2 linked regions of the Schizosaccharomyces pombe genome follow. Changing the gene in region 1 together with any one later gene gives a genetic interaction. Each region holds a gene or a part of one and is shown on either strand. Other genes may lie near its edges.

The links.
Region 2: mutations in SPOM_SPBC1778.09 (region 1) and gid8 together harm fitness more than expected from each alone (negative genetic interaction), as found in Schizosaccharomyces pombe (one large-scale study listed by BioGRID).

The regions. Positions count from the first base shown.
Region 1 is NC_003423.3:3,110,738-3,114,899, reverse strand, and holds SPOM_SPBC1778.09 (GTPase-activating protein), read right to left. Parts: upstream 2,449-4,162; 5' UTR 2,177-2,448; coding exon 932-2,176; 3' UTR 503-931; downstream 1-502. Other genes in the region: pdk1 (serine/threonine protein kinase Ppk21/Pdk1), read left to right, coding at 1-439; arc3 (ARP2/3 actin-organizing complex subunit Arc21), read left to right, coding at 2,696-2,701, 2,748-2,847, 2,928-3,203, 3,300-3,442; SPOM_SPBC1778.07 (carnosine N-methyltransferase), read right to left, coding at 3,701-4,162.
Region 2 is NC_003424.3:4,594,502-4,597,888, reverse strand, and holds gid8 (ubiquitin ligase complex subunit protein), read right to left. Parts: upstream 1,648-3,387; 5' UTR 1,451-1,647; coding exon 1,350-1,450; intron 1,286-1,349; coding exon 1,090-1,285; intron 1,046-1,089; coding exon 620-1,045; 3' UTR 509-619; downstream 1-508. Other genes in the region: tea5 (serine/threonine protein kinase Ppk2), read left to right, coding at 1-209, 268-322; DNA repair protein Rhp41, read left to right, coding at 2,100-3,387. UniProt on the Schizosaccharomyces pombe protein: Component of the GID E3 ligase complex recruiting N termini and catalyzing ubiquitination of proteins targeted for degradation.

The sequences.
Region 1 (4,162 bases):
TGTTGACAGACTTTATTACAAGTTGGTTCCATCGTCTGAGTCGATCATTGAATCTACCTCGGTCTTCGTATCACCCATTCCAAGTGTACCTGAGGGTAATAAGTTTCCATCTGGACTCTCAAAAATGTTTTTGAAAAGAAAGCAAAGGGTTATGCTATTAACTGATGTTGGTCGATGCGCTTTTGTTTGTAAAGGAAAACATGAGAGACTTTTTATCGAGATGGAGGTGAACTTGAAGGATTCCAGTGTTGTAGTGATTTTTGATGAAAATAGTTCCAAGCGATTCTTGATTGAAGATAAGGTCCAGTCCTGGATAATAGAAGACAGTTCCGGGGATGTCACCAAGTATAAAGACAAAATCCTTAAGTTTGCTGATGTTGCGTCTTCTCATCAATCTCGTTCTTCAGAAGAGAATGTAGAAGAGAACGAGGAAGAGTAACCCCATACCTTGTTTTATTTGATTTTTCAACCCATTTACTACCTTCTTTATATTTTATTATTTGTCGTCAGTGTTTTGGTAATATTTAACTATTTAAGCTATACATAATTAGAAATTACGACGCACCTAGGAAGTCGCAAGATGGAGAGGTATTATGTATACATATATATGTATAGTATTTATAATATATATACTTGAATTAATTTTATGTTAAAATTCCATTTCTTTTGGTGAGATGTTAAAATTATAATATTAGTAAGAAGAGAGAGTTAGATAGGATCGATTTAAAGCGCATACTCTTGATACCAATAAAAGTTTTGTGGTATCAAGGAAATAATGTTTATCAACGTTCCAAATTAAAACAGAAAAAGAAAATGATAAATGTTCAGGACCCATTATGCTAAGCTCTGTGATATCAATCCTCATCTTGTTGACATATGTTACATCATGTGGGCCACAATTAATAAAGCTATTAAAAAAGAGTTAGAAATATCAGTTTCTCTTACTTTTAGAAGAATTTTCAGAAGGCATTTTTTCCCAAAATAATTGAATTCTAGCAAGCAGGGCGTTATCGTTTTGAATGGGAATAACACCTGACAGAGCTTGCATTACTACTTCAAAGTCTGCATCAATTAGCGTGTCCCACATTCCTTGTATAACCGCAAGAGAAGTGGCTTGCAATAACCTGACAGTTTGACCTTTGCTTCCACCTAATAAAAACAGGAGATCCCATATACGTAATTGAGTATGGAAGGGCACGCATTGATGAAAAACAGTGAGATACCAACGTGTAGCAAAAGCAGATGGTTCTGCTCCAATTTCCGCCAGATGTCTGCCTGATTGTGTAAAACTTAACTCATGCTTAAGCATGTCAAAAGCCTTTAAAAGTGTATCAAACCCGGAAGAAAACAAGTCCCCCATGCCTCTATTTTCCAATAAATTTACCATCATTATAAATGCTTGTTCTTCGGGATAGTAAATGAGCAAGGTCGCAGCAATAGAAGCCATTCCTTGAACGTATCCAACACGAGGTATATAGAGAGCTACAGCATGAAGAACTCTAAATAGTAAACGTTGCCCTCCAATGTAGCGTTTTCGGAATAAGAAATGTGTAGCAGCTGTTCTGGGAACATCTAGGTCAATTTGAACATCATAGTCACAAATCTGCTCGTTCAATTGGTAATACTTGTCAATCAGTTTTTTATCAGGAAGAGAATCCACAAGAAAGGACCACCACGCAATAGATCGCCAACAATCTGGAATCCCCTTAAATGTACGTAAAATTAACTTACGAGTTTTTCGAAAAGAATGGAGCTGATTACCGGAAACGAGGTGTATTGAACACATCGATTTCCATTTTTGAATACGGGAAAGCTCTTTAGCTGATATTTCGTTGCGGTCATGCGACTCGCCGGGAACAACCATGAAGATGCTTTCATCAACGTACTTCAGCATGTCATCATGGCCGATTAATTTATTGCCAAGACGTTTGGCAGGGTTTGGTTTATCTAATGTTGGGTCTTTACTAACTTTATAGAACCCTAAATTATTAACATTAAAGTCTGAGCGATAGTTTCCGTAACGATCCACATTTTCCAATGACTCTTTTGTATCGATTTCTTGAACTTTTCCATTAATAGGTTCTGGTATATTTAAATTATTCTTGTCTTCTTGTAACCTGTACAACGACCGAATTCGTTGCAAATTGGTTGTTCTAGTTGGGGAAGGGTTTTCCATGCTCTTTCAGATATATCCTCAATTCCGTCACTCTGGAGAAAACAGATTACCTACTAAACTGTATTAAAATATCCAACACAGAAAGATTTAACAGGGGGGAATTGTTTCCGATGTAGTAATGTTTACGGTCCCAAAAGACCGTCTATCCCCATATAAGTCAGTACGTTAGATCCCAAAATCAAAATAACCAAACATGAAAATCTTTTTTTGACGTTTTTATAATTTTTCAAGCAATAAATGCATTCGTGCAAATGCTTATGAATTTGGTTCTCGCTACAAATTTATTGGCTCTATGTCATTTCCATTGATGAAAACTAGTTATAAAGTAGAGACCGAGACCCGATCACAAAACAAAAAAACGACACGCTATATTGCTTTACTGTAATTACATAGCTTTTCGCTATTTTGTTTAAAGAAAAGCTAATTTATCACTATTGATGCTTGACGAAATGCTCCCTATCGGCACATTCAGCAGGTGCTCAAGTTATCCAACAACATCATAAGCACTAGACATTAGATATGCCGGTATGTTCTAAAGTTTTGAATTTTTGTTGCTGACATGTTATGAAAGGCCTATCATTCCTCCTTCTTAAGTCTTACGGACGTCCCTACCACGGGAAACATAGCAATGCTGCCGTTGAAAACCAAGTTTCGTGGACCGGCTTATCCTGGTATGTTCCAGATATTTGTCAACTCTGTTTAAAGACTATTCTTAATGTTATTAGAGTACTTTCTAACATTTTTTATACAGCTGATGAGAGTCAAATGGATATTATTGATGAATGCATTGGGCTGTTTCGCGCCAATTGTTTCTTCCGCAATTTTGAGATTAAGGGACCAGCAGACCGTACTTTAATTTATGGAACATTATTTATCAGTGAGTGCTTGGGAAGAGTTAATGGACTCAATTATCGTGATGCTGAACGTCAACTTAATAGTTTAGCGTTGGAGAATTTTTCTATTCCTGGCTCTGCTGGCTTTCCCTTGAATGCATTATATGCTCCTCCCCTTTCTCCTCAAGATGCTGGTAAGATTCACCCAAACTGTGGCATTAGACATATAGATGTTTGTGCCGCTAATAGCTTTCTTGCTTTTTTTTTCATTTGCTAACTATTAAAAAAAGAAATAATGCGTACATATCTTACTCAATTTCGTCAGGAACTTGCTTATCGTCTTTTGTCCCATGTATATGCAACTGAAAAGGATCATCCCAGCAAGTGGTGGACTTGCTTCAGCAAGAGACGTTTTATGAACAAAGCTTTGTGAGTCTATTAATTAATAATTTGGCTCATACTGTATTTCAAAGCCTTTATGTTTTTCCGTTTCCTTTATTTCAAATGCGGCTTATAAAGTTTTTGAAGCGTACGAATGGCTTATTTAATGTAGGCAGTTTTATACGTAGATAGTAGATGCAAAAATAATCGCTTTACTTTCATGTACAAGTTATCAATTAGCTTTGTTAATTATGCTAAAGGAATATTTGAATGATTAAAGTCGTAATATTCAATGTTGGTTCAAAAATTTTTATTGAAATCGTAATTTTGATTTTTGCAAACGGCAGACCCAATAATGAGGATGGTATATCCATTCAAGCATACTTCGTTTGTCCCCCATATAAGTCGTGTCGACCGAATTGTGCTTTAAAACCTCAAATCCCATACTATCCATCACGTAAAACAGCTGCTCGAGAGTCAATTCAACGAAAGGTTGTTGCTGGCTATCACTGTTAGAATTAGAAGTACCTTCTGACTCAAAATGATACAATAAAGGCCCGAGATTTATCCAATAACCTCCATCTACCAAACAGTTTTTAATTGTATCCAAATAGTCCAGTATGTTTTTTGTAGTGTCTATAAAGAAGCAGGTAGCTACTACTTGAAACGAATCACGACTTTCTTCGGTGCCGTATACCTCCAGGAAATCCCCGGCTGCCATTGAAAAGTTTTGTGAATTCCGCAGATATTGAGAGGGAACTGCATCAGGAAT
Region 2 (3,387 bases), on another chromosome or scaffold:
AACTTTTTTCGTAAATCTATTCAATCCATCCAACTAACTCCGAATGCAAATGTTTTAGTCAACCGAGTTCGTGGATTAATTAGCCAAGAATTTAAGGAATTCCTTTTACAAACCTTGCAAGCCGAAACATTACAAGGCCCTAATATCAATATGTTGTTGGAAACTTCTAGTTTTTTGGAAAAGCGACAAACGCTCAATTTTGAAATTTGGTAAGTTTTCAGTTTTGGAACACTTTTGTTTATATCCAATTCTAACCTTTTTTTTTAGCCTAAACAATCTTAATTTGCGAGAACGAAAGGCATCTCGCTACAGTTATCTATGATTACCAATGAAGAAAATCAAATTATTCGCCATAGAAAAAATATTGCTAATTTAATAACCCATTAAATTCCCTCCTTACTTTTAAAAGGAAAAGTTGTGTTTGCTTTGCTTGTCAGTAACTTGATACTATACGATGTTGCTTAACAACAAAAATTGGCTTTGTTAATTGAATGTCATATTATCATTTGTGAGTTCAATAATTTAATTATCATTAGTGAGAACAATACGAAAAAAGTTCTTATGTTAAATGGATGTAACAGACATAAATGCATAAACTGAGGAAGGTCGTAAAAAGTAATCATTTTATGGATGCTTTGGGCACAAATTTCTGCACTTCAATCGAATTCCTTTGTGCCTCTTTTTCACACCAGCGCTCAAAATTTACCAAAGACAACAACCTAGACTCATTTGATAATCCTTGAGACTTCAATATACTAACGTTGGCAAGGTTTGCAACACGCTCACGTTGGCTGTAATTCAAAACATTTTTCAAGGCAGGGCTGTAGGAAGAAGGAGGAAAACATAAAAGCGACATTGTCAACTCTAAAGAATTCAAAAACTTTTGATTTGAGGGTGCTAAAGGTGCTAAATTTTCATGTGCAAAGTTTAAACATCTTTCTACCGCTAAATCAGAGGTATCTTTCTCTTCAACAACTTCTCGTATCAATTCAAGCAATCTCAATCGTAATAATTCAAACAGAAGTTCTGAATTTGTGTCCAAAATCTATGTAGCTGTTAACTCGTAATCCTTACTTGCTTTCAGCATACCTCTGGCTCCAATTCATTCAGTTTGCATATTGCAGAGTTAATTGAACCTGATTTAATTAACTCGCAAATCTCTAAACGTTCTTTTACATATGGAGGAATATAATAATCCGTAATTTGAGCTTCTTCAGCAAATGTTTTTGCGGCTTCTTCGTCACCTTGAATCACCAAATAATCTAAAATCAGCGAATTCACGTCTCTGTACAAGCAATGATTAGTAACCATCAGTAACGTTCAGCGAAGCAACTATTTCAGTTACTTACGAATTATCGATATGGACACTTTTTGTCTGTTTCTCCCATTGTTCTGCGTCCGAACTTGAGCTACCGCTCATTGAAATATCTAAAGAAGAAGTGCCTACCATCTTTAAGCTCTCGTGAGAGAACGGTAGCAAATTCTATTCTATCCTAAACAAAGAGACCTTTTAAAGCTACCAAAAGTTATGACCGGATAAACGAGCCTCAATTCTTGATAAAAAGAAATTTAACGAAATTTATATAGGATAGAGATAGTAAACCCTTGAAAAAGGCAATTTGAAATTCGAATAGCCTGTGCAATGCTAAAGATTGAAGTTGCAAAGTAGCCATATCGCTACCTCAAAGATATGCCGTTTACCAAAATGCAACGCAAACTTCTAACTTAAAATATAATGTACTCTAACGGCGATTTTTGGTTTCACTACAACGCTGTATATAAACAAATTCAACGTTAGCTATGATTTTAATAGAAAAGGAATTTGTTTTTCTTAACGTTATGAACTACTTTTCGTATCAATAAATACAAATCTTTTTCTCATGTGTTACGTGCATTATTAATGGTCAAAACATTTTCTTATATTCTACTTAATTGAAGTATCTTTATAAACTCGTGCTCCCTAGTGTTTTTAAAGAGTTACGCATCTCAAAAACGTTTCATTGGTTTTTTATGTTTCATTTTTTAAAATAATATAATAGAATAAGGGCGCAACGAGTCTTAATACTGAAAAAAGTTGGCTTCTATCAAATATAAATGCTATGATGAGTGACGAAGATAATACCTATAGTGATGATGAAGAATGGTTAGATTTAGATCTTGGTCTCCCTAATAATGATATTAAAACTGCACCTATTTTAAATTCTTCGCTCCTTTCATCCGCCGTACATGGTGAAAGGTTGATTCAAGAACGACCAACTCATGATTTTGGAGACGTTGAGGCCACCGTTGATCGAACGGTTGAAAAACGTAGCCGCTTAAAGATCACTTCCGTTGATAGAAAGATTCGTCTTCAAATTCATCAGTTACACTTACTCTGTTTGACTTATCATCTTTGCACACGAAACACTTGGTGCGATGACAATAGACTAAATTATCTTGTGAAATATATTCCTCCTGGTATACGTGTCTCGCTTCATCCCTCTTCTCAAAAGTCACAAATGATTCGGAACAAAACTTTCCTACACGGGTTGGCTGGACTCGTCGAAGTTTGGAAACGGAAATATAAAATCACTACCAATGGATTAAGAAAACCGAATTATGGTTTACTACAAAACAATAGCCTCATCTCTGAATCTTTATCCCTTGAGGAGTTTTGTAAAAACTCAAAATTGCTTTCCGGTAGTAGAGATTATGGAACCCAGTTATTTGCATCTATTCTTCGTAATTTAAACGTTCCAACTAGACTAGTTTTTTCACTACAAGTTTTATCTTTTCGATTTAAAGGTGCCATAAATGAAGCAAGTAGTCATGAAATTGTTCCGGCATGGTCTCAGCAAATGGAAAATGATTCATCTAGCGATATCTCTGAAAGTGCACACATTACTTCTAGATTTCGCAAACGTAGGAAAATCATACAGCCTTCTTTTTCAAATCTTTCACATCTTGATGCCTCAGATATTGTTACAGAAGATACAAAACTAAAGGTAATTGATTCTCCCAAACCGGTTTTTTGGGTAGAGGCTTTTAATAAAGCTATGCAAAAATGGGTTTGTGTTGATCCATTTGGTGATGCTAGTGTCATTGGCAAGTACAGAAGGTTTGAACCGGCTTCCAGTGACCATCTAAATCAAATGACTTATGTATTTGCTATTGAGGCTAATGGGTATGTAAAAGATGTTACCCGAAAATATTGTTTACATTATTATAAAATATTAAAGAATAGAGTCGAGATTTTTCCCTTTGGAAAGGCTTGGATGAATAGAATATTTTCTAAAATTGGAAAACCAAGGGATTTTTATAATGACATGGATGCTATAGAGGATGCGGAATTACTAAGGCTTGAACAATCAGAAGGAATTCCGAGGAATATTCAAGATTTGAAAGATC